Linked DNA regions of Notamacropus eugenii. The protein of the gene in region 1 purifies or fractionates together with the protein of each later gene. This does not show direct contact. Links are inferred from orthologs where the notes say so. Each region holds a gene or a part of one and is shown on either strand. Other genes may lie near its edges. The genes, in order: VPS4A and ZFYVE19.

The links.
Region 2: the proteins of VPS4A (region 1) and ZFYVE19 purify together in Homo sapiens (affinity purification with mass spectrometry; 3 studies listed by BioGRID and IntAct, counting the BioPlex papers as one, with this or other methods). This does not show direct contact. The link is inferred for Notamacropus eugenii from reciprocal best matches to the Homo sapiens genes VPS4A and ZFYVE19.

Annotation. Positions count from the first base shown.
Region 1 is NC_092872.1:708,682,271-708,696,915, forward strand, and holds VPS4A (vacuolar protein sorting-associated protein 4A), read left to right. Parts: upstream 1-5,129; 5' UTR 5,130-5,349; coding exon 5,350-5,370; intron 5,371-7,221; coding exon 7,222-7,333; intron 7,334-7,432; coding exon 7,433-7,580; intron 7,581-8,510; coding exon 8,511-8,572; intron 8,573-8,654; coding exon 8,655-8,774; intron 8,775-9,181; coding exon 9,182-9,338; intron 9,339-9,524; coding exon 9,525-9,673; intron 9,674-10,649; coding exon 10,650-10,731; intron 10,732-11,343; coding exon 11,344-11,563; intron 11,564-12,616; coding exon 12,617-12,757; intron 12,758-13,268; coding exon 13,269-13,370; 3' UTR 13,371-14,139; downstream 14,140-14,645. UniProt on the Homo sapiens protein: Involved in late steps of the endosomal multivesicular bodies (MVB) pathway. Recognizes membrane-associated ESCRT-III assemblies and catalyzes their disassembly, possibly in combination with membrane fission.
Region 2 is NC_092878.1:26,968,923-26,983,567, reverse strand, and holds ZFYVE19 (abscission/NoCut checkpoint regulator), read right to left. Parts: upstream 8,511-14,645; 5' UTR 8,441-8,510; coding exon 8,387-8,440; intron 7,865-8,386; exon of another isoform or gene 7,741-7,864; coding exon of another isoform or gene 7,682-7,740; intron 7,645-7,681; coding exon 7,523-7,644; intron 7,259-7,522; coding exon 7,205-7,258; intron 6,691-7,204; coding exon 6,560-6,690; intron 6,211-6,559; coding exon 6,065-6,210; intron 5,860-6,064; coding exon 5,745-5,859; intron 5,601-5,744; coding exon 5,391-5,600; intron 4,396-5,390; coding exon 4,322-4,395; intron 3,946-4,321; coding exon 3,856-3,945; intron 3,573-3,855; coding exon 3,442-3,572; intron 3,256-3,441; coding exon 3,177-3,255; 3' UTR 2,736-3,176; downstream 1-2,735. Other genes in the region: PPP1R14D (protein phosphatase 1 regulatory subunit 14D), read left to right, coding at 839-919, 1,265-1,297, 1,719-1,784; DNAJC17 (dnaJ homolog subfamily C member 17), read left to right, coding at 8,838-8,915. UniProt on the Homo sapiens protein: Key regulator of abscission step in cytokinesis: part of the cytokinesis checkpoint, a process required to delay abscission to prevent both premature resolution of intercellular chromosome bridges and accumulation of DNA damage.

The DNA.
Region 1 (14,645 bases):
GGAAGGCCAAAGGTTGCTACTGAATCCTGTATTATTAAATGAAAAGTTAAATGCCAAAACTCTTTGGTTCTGAAGCTGCTTGCATCGGAGAAATTCTAATTTCTATAAAATAAGGACTTCTTTAGACCTTAAGACACTGCTTAAACTATATTTTAGGTTAAACATGACCCACTGCCCTGCTGCAGATTGCTTTTTGGCAAGACCTCATGCAGTCAGTGAAGTCTGGAGTGTTTTTCAGTTAAATTTAGATCCTATTTGTCTCCCCATCCCCACCCCAGTATGGAAAGTATAAGAATTCATTATCTGATGCCCCCATTTTAGTTATCACTTTTACCTGGTAACTGAGAACTAGGTACATCAAAGTTTTACTTTCAGTTGGTGGTTTAAGATGCTGGTATTTTTTTAAACCACACAGTTCATAAAAATCCACATTACTGGGCTCTTACCCAATATTTGGTGAATACTTATGGGTTGATAAACATGTCTAAAATGATTGCACTACCACCTTAACCACTTGATTCTCTAAGGGTCTTATAAGTGATGCATGAGTTTGAGTGACTTGTCCAACAATCTTAGAGATTTGTTTTATGTAGAGAGTGTGTTAGAGTAGCTACTCTAAAGTCCTTTCCCATCAAAGGTGAGTTTGGCTTTTGCTACTGGTGATGTAGGTTCGGTTGCATATCCCAAGTGAGTCTGTGTCCATGTTGCAAAATCTGAGTTGGAGGGTTCCTCCAATATCTAGCCTTGGCCATACCTGACCAAGAATCCCCTCTGCAATACCCCCAACAAGTGGTCATTCTGTCTTTGCCCAAGAACCTTTCAGTGAGGTAGAACTCACTGCCCCCTGAGGCAGCCCACTCCACCTGTGGAGGGTCCTAATTGTCAGAAGGTTTTATCTCACATCCAGCTGAAACCTGCCTCTGCAAATCTTAACTGTTGTTTTTTGTTCTCCGTTTGGGGCCACATAGAACAAATCTGTTTGTTCCCCTTTTCACACAAAAGCCCTTCAGATATTGAAAGTTAGCTGTATGGTTTCCCTTAAGTCTTTTCCTTTCCAGGCTGAACTTTTTCAGTTTCTTCATAGATTTTCTCTTAGCACAATCTCAAGGTTGATCATCCCACTTATCCTCCCCAATGTTCTCCACTTTATCGATGTCCCCCACAGCTAACTGGCCCTCCTGTAGTCTGGTGAAGCAAGTGTACAGGAGGGGCAGTAGGCCTTTCCTCCTTACTCTGCCCTCCTGCCTCCCCCAGTGCAGCCTAAGACCATGTTACTGATACTGTGGCTGCTGTTATCACAGTGGCTACTGTGTCGACTCACTGGGCTTCTATAAAGTCTGCTAAATTTTTCCATGTCTTTTTGACAAATTTGTCTCTAACCACACTCCCTAGTTGATACTTTTGAAGCTGATTTTTTAAGTGAGACCCCATATACTTAATAACAAGTTATTTACATATTTAGCTTTTAAGGAATGTTTTTAGATGTGATGGTTTTATTTGAGAATTGGTGAAATTTAACTTCAGCATCTGATCATCTCTCCTACAATGCCCTTCCCGGCTTATGAACTTCTCCAGTGACTGAACCTGAAGTATTTTTTCTTGTTTTCCAAATGTCTTGCTTTTCATGTCATGGTTATATGTGCCTTTTTACAGACAACATCTGGCGCTTGTGTCTGACGAACATAGTTACCAGTAATGTGCCATATTAAGCATAACTCAACTTGTCTAAAAATGTATTGGCTAAAACTAGATATAGCTTATACTGTAGTGAGAAAGAACATTCACCAAGCATTGAAGTGCCTACAATTCACAGTGCTGCATTTGGTGCTTTGGGGCTTTCAAAAGAAGCCAGACTTGTTGACAAATCTAGTTCATGCCCAACTAAATCATGCCTTCTCTTCCACAGTAGGTTTTAAGGACTTCATCTCAGATTTTTACCAAAGTGGTTTCCCATTTTTACTGATTGGGTATGCTGGCAAACCGAACAAAAAGGTCCACAGTGATACTTGGGCTTTGAGAAAAGACTGTCTATTTCATGAAAATGAGGGTGATAGTCTGAGCACTTTAAAGGAAATCTCATATTACATTAATTATTCAGGAGGGAAAACCTGCAGGAATTGCTTCAGGGGGAAGGTAGTGGAATTCTCATCCAGTGGTAGACTTGGAGTAGAAGTAGAACCACTCTTAAAGATTTTGGAGAAGGGATTCAGGACTTGGAGAGGGACTGGCTTAGGTGACTTCGGGGTGTTTCTTCCAACTATAAGGTAGAATAAATTGGTTTTTTCTTTCTCACTGAACAAAGAAAGGAAAAGCTTGATGTGACATGTTATGGAATTTCATCTCCTAACTAAGATGTGACCAAACAAAGCAAGCTCTGTTGTTCTGAGTGAAGAACTGTGAAGATGGAAGAGATGGGGGGAGAGAAGAAATTCTTTTAATTACATAGAGCAGAATTAAAAACGATTACTCTTCGTTGCACCCATCAACTTTTTTCTAAATGGTGCTGTTAACATAAATTCCCAGATTGACATCCATCTCAATAGCTCCTTATCTGCATAGTAAAATGCTTCCCTAGTGATTGGTCAAAATGAAGAGTGGGAAACTCAGAGAAATATCCTTTTTTTTTTTTTTTTTAAAGCAACTACTGGAGACATGGTCCCAGAACATGGAAAGTACTTGAGAAAAGAGAGAAGACAAATTTTAATTTATCAAAAAGTTTTTATCCAACCAAAGCCCTTTTCTATACAAAATGCCTTATTGAGTTAAAAATAGGTTTTTCCTCTGACCTCACAATATTGATCAAGTTTTTAAAAGGATGAGCCTCAGGTGTATTCAGAAAAAAAATATTCCTGTTCTTGGTATAGCACATGAAAGTCACATTGGCCCTTAACTAATCCCTTGTTTTCATATGTGCTAGAACTGTACATGAAAACTGTTCTTTGCCTCAATGTCTTCTTGTTTGTTACATTAGATGCATACTTGGAGAACCTGGTGTTCTCCATTCTATATAATTGGGATCTGTATATTTAGGTATCTGTAATCCATAGCCTGGGAAACATGATCTCATTTATCCATTTTTTTTTTGTTTAAATGGATTCAGTTATATTTCTCATCTTTATGCAGTTACCATATTAGAAGGCAGGAGTATGGATAATATTTTAAAATTGTATTTCCCATTTAGCATCACCACTCACTAATAGCTGTTGTTTCCCTTGGTAAATCTGCCCTTTGGAAAGAGCCATTTTGGAATTACTTGCTGTAATAAATGGCACCAGTGTATATGTTTACACAGTGAATAAAGCATGACAAACAGCAGCTATTCCTTTTGGTACCATGGACCCAAGGAATTTGGGGAAATAACGTGTAAAACCACTTCCCAACGTGGCCTGTTTTGACTAACATCTGTGCAAATTCGTGCTCCCCTTCCCCTTTTTTTTCTTCCCCCTTCCTTTCCCTCTTCTCCTCTCCCTATCCCACCCCCATATTGTTCCTGGTGATTTTTAAATATTGAGACTTAGAAGACTGTAATAATACTGCTAGGAAGAATCAAAAGTATTTCTTGTATTCAAAGAGAACTTCTTTCCTCTTATCTTGGATCTTCCGGTTGGTCTAGGCTACCAAATCTAAATATTCATGTAAAACAGGGCAGTATTGTGTTCTTATGTATCAATCCCAGGAAAGCTTTATATGTACACTATAAATACGGATACTTAGACAACACTTTCCTTGAGTTGCATATTAACTATGGCATTGTACATTACAATGAAAATGTGTGACTTGAGGGCAATACATATAAGTACATGTACACCTTTGTAACCTTTATATTGTAAATAATAAAAAGTTTTCCTTTTAGATGTGCTCGTTTTTACCTTCGGTGTTTCCTCTTACAAGATACCTGTTCAAATTGTCACCTGCCTCAAATGCCAGTTAGAAATAGATTTAGAGCAACCACATGTTCCCAGGTAGTATTTTAATGGTCTAATGAGTTCTGGTTTGGGTTGTACAGCTGGCTTCCTGAGGACAGAAGCTAAATCACTGGATCCATCTGGTCCTGTTTTCATACAAATTATGGGGGGACTGGGGAGAAGGGAGGTTTACTTTTCAGAAATAATATCGAGAAATAAGAATAGTTGAAAATCATTAAGTGTCAGTCGTTTCCTTTGAACATGATCCTCAACAACTTTTAATCCCGGCCTGTTTCTTCTCATCGTCCGGGGATGCGCGCTTGAGAAATGCGCCGGACTCTTAGCGAAAGCCCGAGTTTGTTATAATTAACAATTAACAAGAATTAACGAGGCAAGTGTTCGGCAATCAAGCTGCTAAATGCGGTAAGAAGCCTGGTGCGTACAATGATGTCGCAGAATCAGAAAATGAGGGGACATCCAGTAAGCAGGACCCCCGTAAGAGCGCTCCTTGACAGCCCGCTGCCAGCCAGGCCTGGGCTCACACCCAGCGCGCACTGGCATCCGTGGCACCTGCCCGGGCACACCTGAGCGACTCCGCCTGCGAAGCGGCCCTCCCTTGGTCCTCAGACACCGAGGGGCTACGGGAGCGGGCGAACCCTCCCGCCCGGCCGGGGCCCGGCCCCCCTCCCTCAGGCACTCAGGGGCCGAGGCTCGGAGACGTGTCACCAGCAGAGGTGCCCGAGCAGGAGGGGCAGGCGGCCCCGCGTGCCCGTGCCCCCCCGGCCCTCCCGCTGCGCGCCGGTACCAGGGGTTCCGAAGTCCTGGGGCAGTTTTAAGCTTAAAGACAAAGGGAGGAAATGAACCTTGGGTTTTACTCAGTGAAGCTCCGTGCCCGCCGGGCGCCGCAGGGCTGTGTCCTACCTTACAACTGCCCCAGGAGGGGCTGCCCGGCCTTCCAGGCTCTCCACCTCCCTTTCCAGCCTTACCTTCTACTGCCCCCATCCGCAGGCTCTGCGTTCCAGCCACCCGGGCAGTCGTCATCATTACCGCGCTCGCGCTGGCTCCATGCCGCCGCTCCGCTTGCCTGGGATCCCCGGTCTACCTGCCCCGCCGCGCGTGGCCGCTCGCTCGGGGAATGGGGGGCGGGGATGGCTCCGAGGTTGCAGCTCTCGGCTGCGGCCGCCAGGGGGCGACCGCGGAGCCGGTGCCGGGCCGCTCTAGGCCGCGCTCGCCGTCCTCTCGCTGGCTCTCTCCCTCTCGCTCGCTCGCTCGCGGAGAGTTCGGAGTCGAGCGGAGCCGAGGCCGCCCAGCCGGGGCCCCGCCCGCTGCGCGTCCCCTTCCGCCTGTCGGCCCGTCCTGGACCCAGCGTCCTCGGCCTCCCGCAGGGGCCCGCACTGAGGCCGGAACCAGAGCCGCGGGCTGCCGGGGCCGCCCGGGAGATGAAATGACAACTTCAACTCTCCAGGTACCGGCCTCGAGGGCCTGGCGGGGGAGGCCGCGGCGGGAGGCCGGCCGGGCCGGGGCCGAGCCGAGGCCGCCCGGGAGGCCTCTGGCCCGGTCCGCCCGGCCCGCCCGGCGCCAGCGAGGAGGATGGGCCCCGGCCCTCAGCCCCTGCATGCTCGGGGCCCGCCGCTGGGGAAACTGAGGCCGCCCTGGGCACGGCCCGACCCTCCCGTGGTGGGCGGTGAGCCCCCGCCCTCCACCCACCCGCGGGAGCCCGGCAGGTGCTGCGCCCCCCTGCGGGCGCCGGCTGCAGCCGAGCCGGTTCCGTCGTTTTACCGATGGGGAAACTGAGGCCCGCGGGAGGGAAGCGACCCGCCCCAAGGTCATCCCGGGAATGGCGGGAGGGCCAGGATGGGAGCCAAGGCCCCTTGGAGCGTGCCCCGCGGCAGCTGGCCGCCCTTCCCCCCTCCGGCCCTCCTCCGCCGGCCGGTGTGGTCTCCCCCGCCTTCGGAGCCGCGTCTTTATCCGGAGACACCGAGGGGGAGGCGGGTTCGTACGCTGGCGGGCTCTTCTCTGCTCCATAACATTTCCGTCCTGAAACTTCGGTACCTGACCTACTTCCATTTAGCCCTGGACAGTCGGACAGACGGACTGACGGGCTGACAGGGGGGCTGTGAGCGCGGGCAGCTCCTTCCACCGCAGACATCATTCTGCGTCTGACCCTTGGAGCAGCCAGGCTTGGGGCGTTAGTGTGCCCTGGTTAGGGGGTCCAGAAGGTGCCAGGACTTTGTCTTTGAGGCTCATGCTGCCCTCCAAGTGTGCTCCAAGAGAAGACTAAAGCCCTAACGATAGCGAACCCGTGCTCTCCTGGCTTTTAAAGCTCTTAGATTGGTTGTCATTAACCAGAACGGATCTCTTCAGCTGTCACATTGCCTGGAAATGTCTGTTTTTCTGGTGGAAGAATCTCTGACATTTGACAATGCCTTAGTCCCAGAGGTGATGGACCAGGAGATCTGTCACTTCATCAGAGATGGGGTTTTAGTTACCAGTTGTATTTCTGCTAAATGCTTTCTGTTCCTTCCAAAGGATGAAATCATGAGTTTCTATAACTAGAATAAAGATACTTCATCCTTTAAAATCCCACTTGGGGGGAGGAGGGCTGGGGAGGGTAACTAGTCTGCAAAAATTGTGTATCGTATGATTCGATTTGACTGTCAGCACGTGTGTCTTTCAGAGAGAAAGACCCTCCTTGTGTTCTCAATCATTGAAATTTCCCACACTTAATGTAGGGTCTCAGGAATATCCTCCTCCTCCTCTCTAACCAAAGGAAGCCAATTCAGTGGAGCAACAGAACTGAACAAAGTTCTCTTGAAATCCACACAGTGAGGCATAGAAGTGGGCACGGTGCTTCTCTGAATCTCAGAGCATCTTCCACCATTTGATTCTGGAAACAGTGTGATTTCTGGTCTTCATTCTAAACTACTTAGTGGTAGTAGAGGGTCAGTAGAGTCCCAGATCTTCTGTTGGTGGCCACTTTCTTTTTGGAGTAGAATCAAATGTCCCACTAACAACAGAGTGACTTCTCCATCCTTTTGTAACTCTAGTCTGGGACATTAGCTCAGGTTTCCTCCTGCTGGAATCCAGAGAGGAGAGTGAGTATGAAATCCCTGTTAAGTGTGTGGTTATTGTGGAGAAGGGATGACTATCTTTTAATGCCTCCTTTTAAAGCCTTTCTATTTGATGGCTGGGAAGTGGTTGGCTCTCCTGGCCTAAGACAAATGACTGAGCTCATTGGCTCCAGTGTCTTCCTGCTGCTTGTGACTGAGTGTTTTCAGGATCTGTTTGGGAGCCCTGTGTCATGTCGTCTTTCCAGAAGGCCATTGATCTGGTGACAAAGGCGACAGAGGAGGACAAAGCCAAGAACTATGAAGAGGCACTGCGGCTCTACCAACACGCTGTGGAGTATTTCCTACATGCAATCAAATGTGAGTCAGGGCGGGGTCCTGAGCTGCTGTGGGCAGGTGGAGGAAAAGGAGGTGACCTCCGAGGCTAAATAGGCCTTTTCTTGGGTGGCCCTTTTATAGATGAGGCACACAGTGATAAAGCGAAGGAGAGCATTCGGGGAAAGTGTATGCAGTACCTGGACCGGGCCGAGAAGCTGAAAGATTACTTACGGAATAAAGACAAGCAAAGCAAAAAGCCAGTAAAAGAGGCTCCAAATGACAGCAAGGGGTGAGTGTCTCAGCCCAGAGGGGCCGAATCAGTGTGGCCGAGAGAATCCCCAGAGTTCCCAAGGGCAGACATCCCTTTTTGGTGTGGCCATCTAATGAAATTAGATAAATAAATTAGTTTAAGTGACCTAATAAAAATAACCTGAACTTATGGAGTTCCTGGCTCTTGAATTCCAACTGAAATTTCACCGACCACAGCAAGAGAAGCTTGCAGGTGGTGTCCCAGGGACAGAAATGTGCTTGTAGAGAGCATGTCATCAGGAGGAGACATGATTTGAAAGGGTGGCTGCCTGGAATGGAAGGCCTTTCCTGGAGGACAGGAAGGCTCCTGGGAACAGACCCTTCTTCCAGGAGGACAAGATTTTGCAACAGTGTTTAGTTTATTCCTCCATAGTGACAGTTGTACATGGATAGGGAGAGCCTGCTCTCTTAGAGGATTTGGGGGATGCTAAAAGTCAGAAGGGGCAGCATGGGTAGTGGATAGAATGCTGGGTTTGTGTCAGGAAGACCTCTGGTATTTACTGTGTCACTGAGGCTGACCAGCTAATGCTGTGCTTGTCTCCTCATCTGTAAAATGGGGATAATAGTCCTGCATTACCTATTCCCCAGGGCTTTTGTGATGTTTACATGATATAGTGTATGTAAGTAAAGTTAGAGCTTTGTGTAAATGCTGGTTATCATTATTTTGTGCCCTGAAGAGCTGCACTTAACAATAGCATATTGATTTTACAAACCAGCTTCTACTTGTTATGAGGATGGATTGGGTGCCTTTCCTATGGGCCTTTAGTGGGTGGGCGCCCCTGTCAAAGCCACTCACGGCATCGCCAGCAGACGTCTCTGTCCCTTCTCTTGCACACCAGCGGGCAGGCGCTGGACCTTGCTGCTGCCAACATAAAGCATCAGCTTGTGACTGCCTGTTTCATTTCCACAGAAGCGACAGCGACAGCGAAGGAGAAAATCCAGAGAAAAAGAAGCTGCAAGAACAGCTGATGGGTAAGTTGCATGAGGCTGCCGAGGTCACCCTTGGGGCTGCTGTGGGGCCCCTCCTTAGGGCCCCTCTGCCTCCTTGTTACAGGGGCCATTGTCATGGAGAAGCCCAACATTCGGTGGAGTGATGTGGCCGGCCTGGAGGGAGCCAAGGAAGCGCTTAAAGAGGCCGTCATCCTGCCAATCAAGTTCCCACACTTGTTCACAGGTGAGAGCTGAACTGATTCAGTCCAAATATCAAAAATAAAGTTGAAAGCTACCAAGAAGAGGTGAAAACTATTTCCCATTCTTTTTAGTTAGAATGAGGACACAGGATTAGAGCCTGCTGAGCAGTTAGGGCCCTTGTGGCCTGGTGTTCCCCATCCCCTACCACCTCGGTGAGGAAGATGCCAATCCCACTTGACTTGTTAGCTGACTTTTGGTCCAGCTCACCCACAAGAACATTGTCAGTAGGCTTGTGTCACTAAGTGAGCTAGAGATGGTCAGGGTTCATTTAAGATGGTCAGGCCATATATGGACAGGACAAAAGGGCCCAACTTCAGTGTTAGCTCCCTTGATCCTCTGAGTCCAGAATCCTTTGCTGCTCATCCACCAGTTTTTTGTTTCTTCCTGTAGGCAAGCGTACCCCCTGGAGAGGGATCCTACTCTTTGGACCTCCTGGCACAGGGAAATCTTACCTGGCAAAGGCTGTGGCAACAGAAGCCAACAACTCCACCTTTTTCTCTGTGTCCTCCTCAGATCTGATGTCCAAATGGCTGGGGGAGAGTGAGAAGTAAGTCGGCAGTCAGGCCACATTCCCTCCAAGCTCTGGAGCCAGTGAAAATGGCACAGAGCAAGCCCTCCCTTTGAGAGAACATAGTCCCCCCTGTCCTGCTTGCTGACACATCCCCAGAAGCCATATAGGGGTGGAGAGGGTTGGGGTGAATAAGGGCAGTCATATTCTGGCTTTTCATCACAGGCTTGTCAAAAACCTGTTTGAGCTGGCCAGGCAGCACAAACCCTCCATCATCTTCATCGATGAGGTAGATTCCCTCTGTGGATCTCGGAATGAGAATGAGAGTGAGGCTGCTCGGAGGATCAAGACAGAGTTCTTAGTCCAGATGCAGGGTGAGTGCTGAAAGGAGCCTGGAGGTCACTGCAAGTGCTGCCTTTATTTTACAGGGGAGGACATTGAGGTCCTGGGGATGGGGGGAAAGGGACTGCCCAGAACTGTAGAGCCAGAGCCAGCCCACCCTACCTCCTTTGCGTCTCTACTCCTTGGCCTTCACTTCTTAGAATCTTCACACCGAACACACTCGCCCCTCCTGGACAGCCGTGGGACAGAGGGCCTGTCCAGCAGATGTGAGCAGAAATGCATGGCCAGGCCTGCCAACAAAAAAGCTGCTGAATCTGCCACAAGCAGAGCTTCTGGTGGAAGACGGATGGACATTCTGCTGGGGCACCCCACACAGAAAGATATCCAGCTCCTGTGCTGGTGTTCAGGGTCTACCCATACCAGGGTGCCAGCTGGCGCTAACATTGAGGAGAATTTGGGACTTGATGTTTGGCCTGTAGCAAGGCACCCTGGTTCATGGGGACGCCGATACCCATCAGCCATGACCTGATGAAGAACTGGGTGGAAACTGCTGGTTTTTTAGAAACACATGGGCCTCCCAGAGCCATCAAAGCTTTGGGGATTTCCTCGTTTTAATTTTATTTTTAAAGAAATGTAAATAGGATTTAACACAGGTCTCTTAATTCCCTGTCCAGGCCTCTTTTTATTCCATTCTCCTCCCTCCCTTCTGTCCACTCCTTAGCCTTCTTTAAGTAGCCCTGGGTAAAGTCACCAGTACTTTGAAGGAGCTCTGGAACTCTTGACTGTGGCTGTCACCCTGACAAAGCCCAGTTGTGCTTGCTTTGTCCCCTCTGAGAAGCCGACTAACTCTAGCTGATGTACTTTTTGCTTCTCCTCCTACAACCCCAGATGAACCTGTTGTCACTTTAGGGGGTGAGGGTGCTCGGCTCCAGCACAAAGCCCTCAGAGGCTGTGGCTAGTGATGGTCATGTCATCATGGTCAGCTTCTTATTTTCCTTCTTTCCACAGGGGTTGGGAACAACAATGATGGCACCTTGGTCCTGGGTGCCACAAATATCCCATGGGTCTTGGATTCAGCCATTAGGAGGAGGTGAGTAGGAGTCACCCATCTACCAGCTGCTAAGCATTCTCCATCCGATTGTCAGCTATACGTTACTCAGCCACCTTTGACTCTGGTCATAACCTGCTTGGTTCACTCACAATTTCTCTGGGTTTGATTTGGGGGAGGTTACACCTCAGAATCCCTCAGATGTGTTGTGTCCGGGAGCTGAAGAGCTTCTCAGAATCATGCTTTAAATGCAGAAAATAAAATACGTAGGATTACAAAGGAATGCAATTATATTGCAATGTAGTGACCGTAACACTAAGAGAACCAATCCATGGGGGCCTTGAAATTGATTCATGGCCTAGCTTCAGAACTCCTGTGCTACAGGATAATTCATTTGTGTTCTTTCCTTCAGAATGAATACATTCAATCAGTCATTCTCCTTTCTGCCTACCTCTCCACATAAGTTCCCTTGGGCTAATGTCACTTATATACTTTTGTTGGAGATAGTGAGTAATGTCACTGTGGCACTGGTGGCCTCGAATGGCCAGTCCTGTTATGCTGGTATTTCAGTGGAAGGAGTTGGGGAGACTTTGGATGGAACCTCCATACTTCTCTAAACCTCTGTAGCACCTATTCCTTTGCATTTGGCTCTAGGTTTGAAAAACGAATTTACATCCCACTGCCTGAGGAAGCAGCCCGGACCCAGATGTTCCGGCTGCATCTTGGGAACACCCCACATAGTCTCACGGAGGCCAATATCCTTGAGCTAGCCCGGAAGACTGATGGCTATTCAGGGGCAGACATCAGCATCATCGTGCGGGATTCTCTCATGCAGCCTGTGCGAAAAGTGCAGTCAGCAACACACTTCAAAAAGGTAAGAAAGTGAGCTGTGCACCATGACAGTGGGAGGAGGGCATGAACTGTACCAGGCAAGTGTTATAGGCTTCCTTTTTTGTACATTCTGGCTTCTTGTGGTGTATTCCTGTTCTTAAAGGAGAGTAGAGTGTGTGTCTGATGTCCCCCTCTTCAGGTCCGTGGACAGAACCATGTTGGAGATGGGGTTGAATTTTGGGGGGGAGGGGGGGGCTTGAATTTCAGGTCCTTGTCATTTTAAGAAACATGCTGGGAGCACAGTGATTGGTTAGGGGAAAATACCAGATGGAGCGTCTTCAGGAGTGGGTTTTGGTGGGCTGAGATGAAGGAGGTGGGTATGAAAAAAGGGAGTGAAGATTTAGGAGTAAGAGAGTAGTGGTATTACCACCTGAGAGTTACCCCAGCCATCTTTGCCCCATGAGATCATTCAGGGAGTGCACTGTGAACAGAGGTGGGGAGTGGGCTTGGTTGTACAGGGAGACAGGTTTTGGACACAGACAGTAGGAATTCATTTTGCCCACTGTGCAACTATTTGTTACAGAGATTTTCTTTTTCATTGGGGGGCAGCTGGAAGGACAAAATAGGGATATTCACTAATTTTTTAAAAAATTTAAGAAACTTTTTTAAAAGGTAAGCTAGGGAGTTACTTGTAATGAATAGAGAGGTTAAATGATTTACTGAGGCTCACCTATCTAATCGAACTGAGAAGCTGTATTTGGACCCTTCTGGATTCCAAGCCTGAGATTTTTTTCCACTATGCTGTGCGAACTCCTAACCTAACGATTAGCTTGTAGATTCCTCAGTGTCTGCTTCTGGACTTAAAAGCTATCTTAGGTAGCATAGTTTTCACATGAATTTGACGTCCCTGGATGACTTGATAAGCTTAGCGATGTCATACACAACTAATATTATCTTAGAATTCTTGTTTAGCATCTTCCAGACCCAAAATATTCCTCAGAGAATAATTTTTACTCTGCCTAGTCAGAATCTACAGAAGAGTAAGTCTTGATGAGCTGGTAGATGTGGGCCCCTTATGTCTCTGGTTTGGTTCCAGGTTCGGGGCCCTTCTCGCACCAACCCTGGAGTCATGATAGATGACCTTCTGACCCCCTGCTCTCCAGGAGACCCTGGAGCCATTGAGATGACTTGGATGGATGTACCCAGTGACAAACTGTTGGAGCCTGTGGTGTGCATGGTAAATAGATGGGATGGCCAGAGTACAAAGAACTTCCTCACTTCACTGCTCCTAAATAACTGTGCCCTCTTCTAAACACAGAACCACCTGTGGTGGTGTGAGCCCCACAGTCCTCTAGCTTACACAAGCAAAGGTCTCACTGTGGAGAGACAGACAGTGCAGTTTCCCCTCACTTTATTTAGCATCAGAAGTTTGTACAAATGATTCCATTTGAGATGAGGGGTTTCCCTTTGCATACAGTAGGTATTCAATAAAATATCTGTCAGCTTGATTTTCTAGGTTTAGTACTGCCTACCATGCCATTTTCTCTCAAGCAGGTATATGGCATATTATGGCTGAATCCGTTAGTAACTTCATAACAATATGAAGGTATAAGGTGAGACACCCTCCCACCCCAGTGTACAACTCCAGTTCACTCAATTCTGGGAAAATTCTCAATATAAAAGATGGCAGCTGGGGCAGAAGGGCCTCTCCAGCTTGGGCCCTGGTTCTAATTCTCTCTTCTTTGCAGTCGGACATGCTTCGGTCTCTGGCAACTACCCGACCCACTGTCAATGCAGAAGACCTTCTAAAAGTGAAGAAATTCTCAGAGGACTTTGGACAGGAAGGTTAAAAGCTTCTGTTGGGGTGATGACGAGGGGGGAGGTTGACCAGGGGAAGTCCATAGCACTTCCTCTCCCCATGCCAACAGCCAGACAGTGCCCCATGTGGCTAATCCCAGAGTCACAACAGAATCCACTTTGCTGTCTGGTGACCAGCTGGGAAGCAAGGAGGATGGGCTTCTCCTACTGCCTCAGAGACTGGAGCACAGCTGGTACATGATGGAGCCTGGGTTCTACATGTTTCCTCCTTTCCAAATGCTCACTACTCCTTTTCCTGACTCTCCCTTGTCTTCTGTTTTTTTAACTTTTTTTTTGTAATTATTCTAAATTAATGCTGCTTGGATTTTTGTCTTGTTTATAAATAAAAATAAAATCACCCGAAAGCTTCAGGGAGTGGAACAATCCCATTCCTGTAGTGGTCAGCTCAGCCAGCCCTTTCCTCCTCCTTTCTCTTTATAGCCGTGTCCTAGTTCTTGAGAAAAGGCCATCTGAAGCCCTTTGGCTCCTCATCCTAAATATTTCCTAAGATCGTCAGGAACCTTGCCGGTGTCACTTTGAGGCTAGGTATACACGGACTTGTTTCTTCTGTGCAGGAGGAGGAGATGACTTCTGCAAATGAAAAGCTATTCAAGTCAAAAGGAATTAGGTCTGTAGTGAAGACTGTTGGCCCATTTTTCACAGCTGCCTTTTCCTCCTTCTGCCTGTGGGAACAGAACAGTGTTGCTGCACTTAAGAGTCCCTCTCCTGGAAATGGCCTAATAAACCTTTTTCCCCTCCTGAGCCGCCTGAGTGATCTCGTGTCTCTAGCGCTTCCCTGAAGCTCCTGGTAAGCTGTCTTTTACCACCAGCAAATAAACTGCTGAGTAAATGATTCTTTACCAAACAGATGGTAAGGGTGGGAGTCATTGGGATCAATATTAGGAGGCTCATTCTAGCCTCAGAAGGAATAATCATTCTTCAGCATCTGCTATTCTCAAATTTGGTTTTTTAGGTTGTTTTTAGTATTCTTGGACTGAGGTGCCTCTAGCCAGAAGACTCCAGGAGCATGTCATCTGGCATTAGTGTGTTTGGGGTTTTATTTACAGGGATTGTCTGGGCTGTCTTAGAAGGTAAGGTGTCTTTTTCTAGTCTCTTGATATTTCTCATCATACATTTAAAAATCTGAATAATCGAAAAAGGAGATTGTCACAAATATTAACCCCTTCAGTGGCTAGGATATCTTTTTGGGGTAAAGAGCCAATTTAGATCTCTCTGGTTCCATTGGGCAAAAACAAGACGGTGGATGA
Region 2 (14,645 bases), on another chromosome or scaffold:
TATAATAATGTACCATGAAGCAGCAACCCTGAACTCCATCCACTGGACCACCTCGCTACCCACCATAGAACATAGATAATGCTAATATGTGGTTTTCTGAGTCAATATACCGTCTCATTTAAGTCCTTACGTATGAGTTAGCAGCTCCATTTCTATAGGAGCTTGACAACCACTGGTCTAGACTTTAGAAAAGTAAAGGAGAAAAGGTTAATATTGCAGATTAAATTGAAAAGTAGGGCAGCTAGTTGGTTTAGTGGATAGAGAGCCAGATCTGGAGTCAGGAAGGCTCATCTTCTCAAGTTTGAATCTGGATTCAGACACTTACTAGCTGTGTGACCCTGGGCAAGTCACTTCATCTGTTTGCCTCGGTTTCCTCATCTGTAACAACCTGGAGAAAGAAATGGCAAACTACTCCAATATCTCTGCCAGGAAAGTCCCAAATGGAGTCGTGAAGAGTCACACATGACTGAAAAATGACTTATATAATTTTTCCCCCTCAGAGAGCTGGTTGTTAAACCTTTACCAGCATATCCCTGTACTGCTCTAAAACTGTTGCTTGAGATCATCAGTAGAGAGCTCTGGCAATGAAGTTGTCACCAGACCAAAGGCTGGTCACTGTAGTCTAATAATAATGAGGATGATGATAATAACTGGATTTTACATATCAACTTCAAGTTTGCAAAATGTTTTACATCTATGATCTCATCTGAGTCCAAATTTATCAGAGTGGTGAAGTGACTTAGGCAGGGTCTCCCTGCTATTAAATATGGAAGCTGACTGACTTTTAAGACCGTTGGTCTTCCCGCTATGCCCAACACCCTGTATGATTCCTTTGCAGGAGCAACTGTCCTCTGTGCCTGAGTTTAACCTGGAAGATTTCATTGAACTCTCCACAGACGAACAGAAAACCAGACTGCAGGTGGGATTAGAAGGCTCAGCTCCAGATTGTTTTACATCACATGGAAACAGGAAGCTTGGGGCTGAAGGGGTCTATGGAAGGGGGCGGAGGAAGGAGGAGCAGACCATCCTCTGGAAGCTCTTTCTGGAGTCAAGATTTAGGTGAAGGGACAGGAGGAGGGTAACTGGGTAGAGATGGCTAATTGAAGGCTCTAGGAAAGAGCCTTTGGGCTCCTGCTGGGGAAGGACTCATAGCTCTTTCCTGACGAGCAGTAAGTTCGAGTTGGGCAGAGAGTCTGGAGACTGTAGGTTTGTAGAAAAGGTTTGCTGCCTTGGGGTGACTCATCGTTGGCTTTCTTTTTCCTAGGCAATGCTCCAAGAATGCGTCAGTCCTACAGAGGTGAGTGTGGCCAGTTTGTTCAAGGAATGAGAGGAGGCCAGAGCAGGTATCTGGTCTGTCAGCCAACAAGCATTTATTAGGCACTTACTGTGTGTTAGACTGGGGATATAAAGGCAAAAACAGTCCCTGCTCCCACAGCTTACATTCTAATGGGGGAAATAAGTTGTAAGTAACTATAGATACATAGAAGACATATATGGAGTCAGATGGAAGGTCATCTCAGAAGGTACTGTGGGAGGTAGTTTTACTTGAGTTCCCTATAGGGAGGTGGTTGGGGGGAAGTGGGTAGAATCTCTCCTAGAGGTAGGAATAATGGTCAGTACCATCCAGGGGCAGAGCCATGGTGTGGTGGAAGGTAGAAGCAGGGGGTAGATTTGACTACAAGTGACATGTGTAACTCCAGCATCTTTTCCCTTTCCAGCCCTTTATCTCTGAGCTGCTTTGCCGCCTCAAGAGCCTCCGGAGGCTCAGTCGGCCTCAGAAATGAAACTTTATGTACCACCTTACCTACCCCTAGACCTCAGCTGACTATGGACCCTTATAAGCCTCACCCTTCCTGCCTCCCAGAGTCACCTCCTCAACCTTGTAGCGTTGACTATGGAGATGAGTGGCAAGTCCCCTCAGGAGACATGGGCCAGCAAGTTGGAGGATGAAATGTGTGGACACTGCCCTAGGGGATATGGGGCATATACAGCTTCAGCCTGATAGTATCAGCACACCAGCTTGGCCTCCTCATTGACTGGACAAGTGACTCTGGGTCACCACCTCTAGAGTTCATGACTCATGTTTTGGATCTAAAAGGGTAAAGCCTATAGAAAAGTTATTGGTGTGGAGTTTTACTGACCCAAAGGGAAATGGGGTGAAGGATCATTGACCGTTTGTAGCAAAAGTAATGGGTAGGAGGTGGGTAAAGGTGTGCAGATGGATGGCACAGGGCTATAGCCATCATGACCACAGCTTTACAATTATTGTATCACTTGGTCTTCACAACAACTATGGGAAATAGGTGCTATCTGGGATAAACAGGGTGAAGTGACTTGCCCAGGGTCACACAGCTAGTAAGTGTCTGAGGCAGCGTTTGAATTTAGATTTTCCAGACTCCAGGCCTGGTGTTGTATACACCGTGCTATCTAGCTGCCTCTGGAAGGAAGTCAATAGTGCTCAGATTTTGGATACAGAAAGCAATATGGGGACTGACTGCAGGAGGGGAGTTAAGGTCCATGATGGGTCCCAAGACTCAGGTATCCTTCCTATTCTCAACCCCAGCACCAGAGGCATTGAGAAAACTGAGGTAGTTGTGTCAGATCGCCCAAAGCCTGATCCCTGCCCAGATCCAATGCCTTGACCTGGCCTACAAGGTCCAGAAGTAGCCCCTGGCCTGCTCCTAATTCTTCATCTCATGTCTCCTGTGGCCTTATGGAAGAGAGAGGACACAAGCTTTGGAGAGTTGACACATTTTATTGGAGGCTAATGAGGTACTGTGTATTTTCCAGTGGACCAGGAGGGAGAACAACTTTTTGAGCCAGGTTTTAAGACTGATAATATTAATACAGTAAGAATCAAAATGCTCAGATGACCTTCCATCCATCAGTGGTTCTGACTTGGGGTGCATCCTTCCCAAGACTCCCAGGCCCTTCCCCTTGCTGAGTCACCATCTTAGGAAAGAGGATCCTGCCTTCTCCTTGGGAAGCCAAAGGCTGAGAGGAGGGCTTCCTCCTGGATCAGCTCCACCCTCTGAGTAGCACCCATGAGGAGCATCCTCTGAGATGTAGGCAGAACTAGGAACCATTACACTTAGGCCCCTTCCCCAGCATCTCAAGGGAACTAACTACAGGGTTGCCTTTCCGGCAGGACCAACTCCAGCAAAGTCCCAAAGGGGTTAGTGCTTTCGTCCCCTGCAGGGTGCACGGTAGACAGATGTCCTGTGCTCTTTCCGTTCAAAGGCATCATGGCCTTCCCTGCAGGCAAAAGGGGCAATGGTCAGTAGTACTAATTCAGTGGAAGTGGGCACATGTCTGCATGTGTGCATACGTGTGTGTGTGGTGTGTGTGTGTGTGTGTACCCACTCCCTGGGCACCCAACTCCCCTCCCTGTGCACTCCCAAATGCCTCTGGCAGCCCCAGCACAGGGTCCCCTTTCCCCACCGGAAGCAGCGTGAGCAGTAGAGGTCGCCATCACAGCCATGGCAGCGTATAGTGGCATCTTCATTGCAAATGCAGCACCAAGGCAGTTCCTCTGCCATCTCCGATTCAGCCCTGGGGGCCACAGCCAGAGCCTGAAGAGAAAGGGAGGGCCGACAAGTAGAGGGTTACTCTCCCCCCAGGGCGCTGTTGTGATGGGAACAAAGTGCACTAACAAAGATGAATAGGATCGTAGGCTTTGAGCCTGAAGGGACCTTAGAGGCCCTCATTTTACAAATAAGGAAACTGAGTCCCAAATAAATTAAATGATTTGCTCAAGGTCATACAGCTTTACCAGCAGAAGACTCACCAGGACTCAAAGTCAGAACCCCACGACCCTTGTACCACACTTGAGGGCTAGTGCCCAAGGTGTCTCACCTTAGGCTTTGGCTGGGCCTGGGCTGGAGGCGCCTGCTTTGCAGGGATGTTGAAGCCACTTGTCTCATCTAGGGCAGCCTCCTCTGTAAGCTACAAACAGGAAGAGAGAGGAGGGTTCCAGGAGCAGCCTCTTCTCTACACTTCTCTTTCAGTCAGTCTCCCTGCAACCTTTTCCATTCAATCCCCACCCAAGCTGTCCCCACCCCTTGCCTGGTTTCACTTTCCTCTCCCACTCTGGCTGCTGCTTCCCCACAGTCATCGGGGAACACAAAGCAGAATGGGGGTTGCATGGGAGCAAGTGTTCAACTAAAGGGGCAGGGCCCAGACAGCAACCACCCCAAGCCCTGGGAAAGCATGCACATGTGCATTCTGAGGGGAAGGGCATGGCAGGCAGTGGGGAAATGACCCAGTGAGGGAGAAACAGGAGACAGGTTAGGTCTCAAGGTATGGTTCAGAACAGCCTTACCTGCTGAAGGATTCGCTGGATGGCCTCCTCTTCATCCTCATCACTGTCAGGGAAGTGATAATTCTGCAAGGTCACTAAAGGCAAGGGAAGGAGGAAATTAACACTGAGAAGATGTCTCTTGGGAGCACATCAACCTCCCTGCCCAGCTCTGTTAGGTTTAGGTCAATAAGCATTTATTCATCGCCATGTGCCAGGTACTGCACTGAACTGCCTTCAAACTCATAGGCTAATGGGAGAGACAACATGCAAACAACTGTGCGCACACAAGCCAGAGCGTAAAGGAGAGGGAATCCTCAGAAGAGAGGTGGGAGATGGGCGAAGACCGGGGAGGGCCTCTCACAGCAGGGGCACTGAGGCCAGGCAGCGGATGTGAGGGAGGGGAGCATCCTAAGTGGACTGAAATGCAAAGCCCCAGAAGATGGGGAGTCACATGTGAGGAGGAGCCCGGAGGCCGGGGTGGTTAGACCTTAGAGCTCATGGAGAATGCCCAAAAAGGTCAGAATAAGCCTAGCAAGAATCTTCTATTTGATTCTGGACGTCAGGAAGCCACTGGAATTTGAATGGGGGTGGCTGGGGAGGAGGTGACATGGCCAGACTGATTTAATAATGTCACTCTGGCAGCCTGGGATGTTGGTGGAGAAAGAGGTTACAAGGACACTGAGCCTGTCCTGGAACAGCAGTTTCTTTAATGCCTGGAGCACATCCTGCTAGGCTGTTGAAGTCAGACCAGCCTTAGGGACTGACGAGCGAGAGATATGGCATTCCTCCTGAGCATTTGCTCAGATAAGTTCTCTCAACATTAGGCTTTAGGGAAAGTGCGGGACATAGGGAAGATGGAAGCTGGGCCCCTTTGCTTGCCCGCCCCATCTGAGCCTCATATCCACCTGTAGGGGGCAGGTGTTGGTCAGTCTCCTGCTCTGGGGGGCACTGCAGCTTTGCTGACTCCAAAGTAGGACTTGTTCATTCTTGATAGAGGGTGTAGTTGGGCCCCTGCATCAGGCATGATGGGACAGGAGCAGCCCCTGGCCCTGTGGGCCAAATCCTGATGCTTCCCAGCCCCTTTCCCTACCTCCTTCAGGGTCCAAGCCCCGAAGCACAGCAAGCCGCTTGGCAAGGGCCAGGATCCTCTCCTGCCGCGTGTTCTCCTCCCTGAGCTCAGCTGCTGCCTCCGCTAGGAGCCTGCCCTTCTCTCCTTCCAGCTGCTGGTGGGCCAATTCATCAGGGCCAATATTCCAGCCTCTTGGGCTGTCCCGATTAAGGTCATTTTGCTGAGAGACGCCTGAAAGAAACCATAGATGGGGTTAAAGTTGGAAGAGGGAGCTAAGGACTGGGGACAAGGCTGGTCTCATCTTCCCTTGTCAGGAGGTGATGGTAAATCATCCCTGAGGGAACAGACAGGCACAGGGGATAGGGAGAGATTTACTTGGAGGTGGAGTTTCTTGATTACAGCTTTCATCAATTGCTACTTCAGCTGCTAATTGTATCAAGAGATCTTCTGCCTGCTGGGCCTGTGTCCTGGTGTCAGGAAGTTGGTGGACCTGGATCAGTGGAGAGAACCCCAGTCAGGAAGAGCTCCCGAAAAGGCATAGAGTGCAGAGAGGTGGGGGATGATGGGGTACCCTATCTAGAAGCAGATGCACCATCCAGGGTAATAAGGTTCAACAGAGACACTAGAACTCAGACAACCAACTTTGTTCAGCTGGGTAGGCCAAAGGTCCACACGTGGTGGGCTACAGCTCTTACTGGCTGAGGAGCCTGCGATGGGGGGAGCCTGCCCTGCAGCACAGCTAGTCGATCCTCCATGTCCTCAGTGGAAGGGATGGGGCCTCGAGGTTCATTCCGAAGAGCAGCCAGCCTGGCTTCGATCTCTGCCTGGGAAGGTACCACTTCTGTAGCACACACAGAAAAGCTACCAGTCAGGTCCTAGAATTACTCCAGGATTTTTAGTGCCCACTTCTCTATACACACGCCCTTAGATGTTGAGGCTTCCCCTTCCCATTGAAGTGATTTGGAGTTTACAGCATCATAGACTTAGAGCAAGAAGAGACTTTAGACGTTAACTAGTCCAACCCTCTTATTTTACAGGTGAGGAAACTGGGGCCCCAAGAGGTTAAGTGCTTTGCCCAAAGTCAAACAGAGAGTAAGTGAAAGACATGGGTTCTGAATTTGATGACTCCACATCCGATGCTCTTTCCACTGCATCAGCTTTCAGCTGGACCCATTCCCAATCCCACTCACTAGGCTTGGTTTCTTGGCGGAGTTTTTCAAGTCGCTTGACAATGACTTGGTCTTCTTGAGACAGTCCCTGTGGCCGAACCACGCCCTGGGGAGCAATGAACTTCTGTTTGGCTTCCAATGCAGCAACACGCCTATTGGGGGGACAAAATGGAGAAGGATACTGAAAAGCAAGGGTCACTGGAACCAGTAGTTGGTACAGGCAAAGGGATGGAAAAGCAGAGCCTACTTTCTGGATTTCTCAAAGTAAGGGGAAGAGGTAGGTAAGAAAAAGACTTCTCCAGTTATCAATAGGAAATTCCAAAGTCTAGATTAGAAAGGGGTGCCTTGGGTAGAAAAGTTGTCCCCTCAAGGGAGATTCTAGTTGCAAGCCCTTATGTATTCCCCAGATCTAACCCAGCAAGAGACTGTAGCAGAGAGGCCAGGACTGAACGTGCATAAATTAGTGAAAGTTCTATATTACGACAGGTATCATAGGGTAGGATATTGGGCCAGGCAGCCTGGAAAGCGGGGACCTTTTCCCAACATTCTATATTCCTTTGGGTCACAAGATAGTCTCCACAGAGAGTCTCTGTGACTCTATACCTCAGCATGAGGTAGATTCCCTGTCTCCATGCCCATCTCCATCCTTACCCCTCCAACACTCACTTCTTGTAGTTTTCAGGTGGTGACCACTTGGAGACACTGGCTTCCGAAGGCCCTCTGCAGGAAGAAAGTTCAGAGTCATAAGGAGTCATTCCTTTGGGCACTGCCACCATACCAGTTAGCGCTCCTCCAGCATACATTTTGCCTCACTGCAGTAGATCCTTATATTACAGACTTAGGAACATATATAGGTAAGTGGAACTGTAGAAGCATCCTATTTAATGACCTTTCCGCTGGCCTCTTCCACATTCACAAATTTATGATCCAGTCCCCCTACCAGAGGCTGCTCTTGTGTCTAGCTTGATCATCCATACTACTCACCTGGTCAGCGCCTCATGGCAAGGCTTGCAGACCTTTTGCTGGGTGTTCCCAAAGCGGGGTACGGCGGCACTGAAGGAGAGGCAGTTGGAACAGAAGGCTCGACCACAGTTCTTACAACCACACTACACAAAAACAAGATGCAAGAAAACGCACACTTACACTCCATCTGGTCCTCCTGGGGCACTTTTCCCGCAGGGATCTCTCAGGATGAAGAACATATGACATTCTGAGGAGGGAAACAGTGGGAAACCACTTCCAGAGGTGGGGAGATGGAGCCAGGGGCACGCTCAGCGGACCGGAGAAAAGAAAATCCTCTCCCAGGTTCCTTCCTGGCACATCGTTCTCGCCCTCTTCTGCCCCCAGAGATGTGGCAGACGCTCGGGCTTCTTCTGGAGAGAGGGTGATGACGGGGCGGGGTGCCCCATTTCAATCTGCCCCTGGCACAGAGGGTGGCACGAGGACGGGTCGCCATCCTCCCAGTCTATCGGTGTGGTTCCTCACACGTGGAAGCATTTCCTTCTTCTTACAGCCCAGGAAGCGAGCTGGGTACCATGCCCAGGACCACACGCCCCGGGGGCACCCAAGGGATCCTTAGCAGCTGGGTCCACTTGGCCCTGGTGGCATGGAAAGCCATGGGGACAGGTGACTCAAAAGGGCAGGCCGGAAAGGAGAGGACACATACAGCCAGCCTGCGGGATGGGAGCCGCGGGGCAGGGGAGTTCCGGAGCGGGGACCCAGCGGGGAAAGGTGGGCAGCGAGGGAGGGGGAGAAGAGGGGGTGACGGGCGGGGGCGGGGCAGGGGGCGGGGCGATGGTTACAAGGGGAGGTGCATCGCCCCCACATTCCAGGGAGAACTAGACTTGCCTCCTTTCGGAACAGGGTGAACTTGACCGCGCAACCATAGCACCTGCCCTCCATCTCCAGGGCAGGACAGACAGACAGCTTCCTGGGGCCGTCAGGACACTGCGCCTCCGCAGCCAAACCTTCGAGGGAGATGGGAGCAGCGATCTCGTCCTTACTACCATCGGCTTCGGGGGGGCCCCCACCCTTTAATAGCCCAGGAGGCCTTTGGATAGACCGGGCTCCGTCCACCTGGGTCTAGAGCGATGCTTGCTGGGAAGGGTAGTTCTTTTTCTCGAGCGGAGTCCTTCGGAGGGCTCCAAAAAAACTTCAATTCCCAGGGGGCAAAGCGCCTCCAACCTAAACAGTGAACGCAGGGTCGGCTGGACGTGAGGACTCCCTAGCGCGGGCCCGCGCTTAGGCTTCTGGGATTTGTAGTTCCCGGAGACAGACGCCGGTTTCAGGGGTCGGGACCATGGCGGTGACCAAGGAGTTGTTGCAAATGGACCTGTACGCGCTCCTGGGAGTCGGGGAGAAGGCGGCCGACAAGGAGGTGAGAGTCTGCGGGCTGTGGTAGCGGCGGCGGCGGCAGCAACAGCAACAGCAGAAGCTGGAGCTGCCCCGGGTGGAGGAGCAGCGCCCTGGCTGCTCTCGGGACCGAGGCCTGCAAGCATTTCCTAGCCTACAGTCCCCTGCCCGGGCCAACGGTCTGGGCGCCTCCTGGGCGGTACCGGGCCCCCTCCGTGGTCGGGGAGCCTCTGTGCTTCGGGGGGGCCGCGGGCCATGGGCCTATGGGAACTTCTCCCTTCGCCCTGCCCCCTCCCCTTCTTCCGCCTCCCCCTCCTCTCCCCTCTCGCTCTTCCGCCTCCCCCTCCCCCTCCCCTGCTATCTCCCCCTCCCTCTCTTCTCTCCCTTCCGCCTCCCCCTCCCCCTCCATCTCCCCCCTCTCTCTTTTCTCCCTCTTCCGCCTCCCCCTCCCCCTCCTCTCCCCTCTCGCTCTTCCGCCTCCCCCTCCCCCTCCCCTGCCATTTCCCCCTCCCCTGCCATCTCCCCCTCCCTCTCTTCTCTCCCTTCCGCCTCCCCCTCCCCCTCCATCTCCCCCCTCCCTCTTTTCTCCCTCTTCCGCCTCCCCCTCCCCCTCCTCTCCCCTCTCGCTCTTCCGCCTCCCCCTCCCCCTCCCCTGCCATTTCCCCCTCCCCTGCCATCTCCCCCTCCCTCTCTTCTCTCCCTTCCGCCTCCCCCTCCCCCTCCCCCTCCATCTCCCCCCTCCCTCTTTTCTCCCTCTTCCGCCTCCCCCTCCCCCTCCTCTCCCCTCTCGTTCTTCCGCCTCCCCCTCCCCCACCATCTCCCCCTCCCTCTTTTCTCCCTCTTCCGCCTCCCCCTCCCCCTCCTCTCCCCTCTCGCTCTTCTGCCTCCCCCTCCCCCTCCCCTGCCATCTCCCCCTCCCCTGCCATCTCCCCCTCCCCCACCATCTCCCCCTCCCTTCCCCTTTTCCTCTCCCTCTCTCTTCTCTCCCTTCCGCCTCCCCCTCCCCCTCCATCTCCCCCCTCCCTCTCCCCTCTCCCTTTTCCTCCTCCTCCTCCCCTCCCCCCTCCCTCTTTTCCCTCTCCCACATCCCCCCTCCTACTTTTCCCTCTCCCATCTCCCTCCTCTGCTCCCTTCTCCTTCTGTTTCCTCCCTCTTCTCCCTTCCCCTCTTCCTTCCCCATCGCTTTCCTCTTCCTCCTCTTCCTCCCACTTTCTTCTCCCTCCTCTCCCCTTTCCTCATCCCCCAGCATGCCCCTCTCTCCACAATCCTTTCCCCCTTCCTTCTTTCCTCCTTCCCAACATTTCCTTCCTTGCTTACTTAATAGAACTTAAACAGTTCCTGTTAGAAGGGTGTAGTATCGGTTTGGTGCTGTCAGGACATTTTCCTGCTTATAAAGTGACCCAGAGCTTGATTAGCTAATCAGCAGTCCTGTATTAGCCATTGGCATGTGCCAGGCTGGGGATGTGAGGAAAGAGCCCCATTCTGATGGGCCGCAGCTTGTGAATGACTGTTGGCGAGCTGAAGAAGACCATGACGTCAGAGAAGTGATGACATCACTTGCGCTTGACTTTGATCTGAGCGGGGAAGGGCTGTGCAGGTCCCCAGCCTCACTTCTCCTCCAGAGCCATCTGGGTCCACTGACCAGCTATTCATCAGGATGACTGGAGATGACCCAGGAGGCCCTCGGAGACTTTTCACCTACTCCCTTAAAATGAGGTAACACCCATTGAGTGGACAGGCCTCTTTAAGAAGTAGTCAGGGTATGGCCCTTTTAATGAGCAAAAGAAAAAAAACTAAGTCAAACTGGGAGGGAAAGAGAAAACCGTTACCATTGATAATCACTGTAAGCCAGTCGTTAAGTGGAGCTTGGGCAGGGACCTGTTGTCCAACCTATGGGCTTCAGAGTGCACTGGGTTTAAGGTTTTGGGAAGACAAGGAAGGAAGGGCGGAAGGATGGATGGAAGGACAGATGGACGGACACACCTGACACTATTGAGAGTATATGAAAGTACCAGCTGAGGGAAGGGACTGTTGGACTGGGGAAGGGCCCTTATGAAAAACAGGGTTTGATCTTGAAGACAGCCAGAGGCAGAAATGAGGAGTGAACATTCCAGGCTTGGGGGGCAACCAGTGCAAAGATGGGAGATGGAGTGGAACAGCCTGTAGGCCAGTGTGACTGCACCCTACAGCTGGGGAAGAATGGGAGGAGGTCACGTTATGAAGAGTTTTAAACGTCAGATTTTATTATTTGATCCTGCAGATAATAGGGAGCCAATCAAGTTTATTGAGTATGGGATTTGACCCATGTTATTAATATCCTGTTAAAAAGAAGTTTCAGTAGCATCTCATTCTGGCATTCAAGGTTTTCCACAGCATGGCCCCAAGCCACCTTTCCAAGCCCACTGCAGTGTACACTGAGCCTGCCAGCCCCTCCAGTGTCTGTAGCTTCTGCCTCTTGGAGTCTGGCACATTCCAAGTGCCCTCCTCATGAAGCCTTTTTGTTTCTCCTAATGACATGTGACTTCTGAACTATCATAGCATTTTACAGCTCTTTTACAGTTATTGTACTTTATATGCTGTCTAGATTTATAGATTTTCTTAAATCTCAGTATTAGATTATTAGATGGTAAGCGCTTTGAAGGCAAGGACTCTATTTTACTGATCCCTGTATCCAATATAGAACCTGCTTCCTACATGGGAGGTAGTCAAATATTTGTGCAATTGCATGGGAAGAAAATGCCTGGGGTTCCTCAAAGAGAAAATAGCTCCATGCTGAAACCAATGCACTATGGTCTATATCATGAGGCTTTCCTTTGCCGTTTGGTTTGAGGGAAGAAGAATAGAAGGGGGAAAGAAGGGAAAGAAGTGAGATCTGATAAGCATTCATTAAGCATTGTACTAAGTGGAATGCTTTCCCTCCTCATATCTTCCTCCTAGCTTCCTTCAAGACCCAGCTAAAATTCTACTGAGGCCTGTAAAACTTTAGCTTGAAAAGCCCAAGGTCCCCCACTGCATCCTGGGCCTTCTCCAGTTGTCTTGATCTTGCCCAGCTCTCCTACACTTAAATTCAGTTCACTTGCATGTCACGGTATCACCTCTCTGATGTCATGATCCTCTTGAGAACGATAAACACTCAGCAACAGCAGCAGAATTCTACCTTCCACAGGAAACCTTTCCCGATTTCCCCTTAATTCTAGTGCCTTCCCTCTGTTGATTATCTTGTATTTGGTTTGTACATAGTTTTTTGCATATTGTCTCTTCCATTAGGGTGTGAGTTTCTCAAGGGCAGGGACCATCCTTTGCCTTAGCACCCTGGCACATAATAAGTGCTTAATAAATGCTTATTGATTGAGTGAATACAGTTACAGAAGAGAGATAGTCCCTGACCTCAAGGACCCCATCTTTAAATGTGGGGAAATGTAGAGAAATGGTGGCCAGGGAAGGGGGTTTTGGTCTGGGGAGTCACGGTGGGTGACATGTCCTTTCCAGAAACAATGGTAATGTTGATTTGTGGCCCAAGGAGGTAGGCAGGTGACAAGCTGGAAGGCAAGGGTATACAGCTTTATGGGATGTAATTTGTGGTCTGGTCTCAGTTGGCTAGATGTTGTGGGCCACAGGAGTTTGCATTTACCCATCAATCAAGCTAGATCAGCCTCAAGGTAGGAGTTTCAAAGCTGAATTTATCCACTCCTTCAGAGACCCATGAGCATGATTTCTGGAGGTCTGGTCCAGAAGGGACTGGTCCTAGTAGAATGATTTGGGAGGGCAGAGGGAGCAAGATGGCTTGGGTGGGGAGCTGGGATGTAAAGCAGAATCTGGTTGCTGATGAAGATGAGAAAGCTGTTAGGAAGTATGGAGCAGAACAAGGCCAAGCCCCATACTCTGCATTTCTGTCCTTTGTCCTGTTTCAGGTAGTCCCATAATTTTTAAATTGTCTCTCCTGGATCTATTTTCCAGGTCAGTTGTTTTTGCAATGAAATATTTCACATTATCTTCCATTTTTTTCATTCGTTTGGTTTTGCTTTGTAATTTCTTGGTTTCTCATAAAGTCATTAGCCTCCATCTGTTCCATTCTGATTTTTAAAGAACTATTTTCTTCAGTGAGCTTTTGAACCTCCTTTTCCATTTGGCTAATTCTGCTTTTTAAAGCATTCTTCTCCTCATTGGCTTTTTGAACCTATTTTGCCAATTGAGTTAGCCTATTTTTAAAGGTGTTATTTTCTTCAGCATTTTTTTGGGTCTCCTTTAGCAAGGTGTTGACCTGCTTTTCATTCTTTTCTTGCATCTCTCTCATTTCTCTTCCCAGTTTTTCCTCCACCTTTCTTACTTGATTTTCAAAATCCTTTTTGAGCTCTTCCATGGCCTGAGACCATTGAATATTTATTTTGGATGTTTGGGATACAGAAGCCTTGACTTTTATGTCTTTTCCTGATGGTAAGCATTGTTCTTCCTCATCTGTAAGGATGAGAGAAGATATCTGTTCACCAAGAAAGTAACCTTCTATAGTCTTATTTTTTTTCCCTTTTTTGGGCATTTTTCCCAACCAGTTACTTGACTTTTGGGTCCTTTGTCAAGAGTAAGGTATACTCTGGGAATCTGTAATATCTCAGTTCCTCCAAGGTGGCACAATCAAGCCTGTACACTGGTCTGGGAGCTACCAGAAACTTTTGTGCCCAGAATCTGAGTAGTAGTTTCCTCTCCACAACCACCTGGCCTCCAGTTCTACCAAGCCAGCACTGGGGGCTGAGATTCAGATAATCTGCTCAATTCCCCCAGGGGCTTTAGGTGGGGGCAGGGCCACCATACAGGACTGAGGTAAGTATCAGCTGCTCAGTTCCCCCAGGGGTTTTACTGTCCAACAATGGATGCAGGCTGCTGTTGCTTTGCATCTCTGCCACCCGCCACCTGAGGCCAGAACTATGGGAAAACCCTGCTTCCTTCTCAGTCAGCTGAAAAAAACCCTCTCACTGACCTTTGGCACCTGTGGGTTGAATGATCTGCAAACTGCTGCTACTGCTGCTGGGGATTCCACCCCTAGGCCTGCTCCTGTCCTGGACCCTGCCTCAAGGCCAAGGCTGGGCTGGGCTCCGATCCATGTCTAGTGCAACAGACCTTTCCCATTGGCCTTTTAGGTCACCCTGGGCTGGAAATCTCCTCCACTCCGTTGTTCTGTGGCTTCTCCTGCTCTAGAATTTGTTGAGAGTCTTTTTTTATAGGTATTTTATGGGCTATTGATGAAGAGCTAGTGTATGTGTGTCTTTCTACTCTGCTCCCTCCTAACAATGGAGTTTCTAATAATGGTAAAAGGGGCCCCATCCCTTTCAAACTTGACACATTTGAAACAAAACTCATTCTTTGTCCTTAAACCTTCCTCCTAATTTCCTTATTTCTGTTGAGGGCATCTGCTTGACTCCTCACTCATCAAAAAGTCTTGCTGATTCTACCTCCCCAGCTTCTCTAGCAAGTGTTCTCTTCTCTCTACTCTCTTGGCTGCCCGCAGCTTTAGGCCCTCACCCCTCATCTGCTTGTTTACTCATCTCCAAGCCTTCTTCCATATAGCTTCTGAGGTGATAGTCCAGCCTGAAGCCAGGTCTGAGCCTGTCATGCTCCTGTTCAGAAATGTCCAGTGACTCCCTATTTTTTGCCTCTTAGGAGGCATTTAAAACTCTTTCCATCCCTCCTTTGCAGGCTTATTACACATTACTTCCGTTCATACCTTCTGTGTTCTGATCAGACTGGTTTACTTGCAACTATT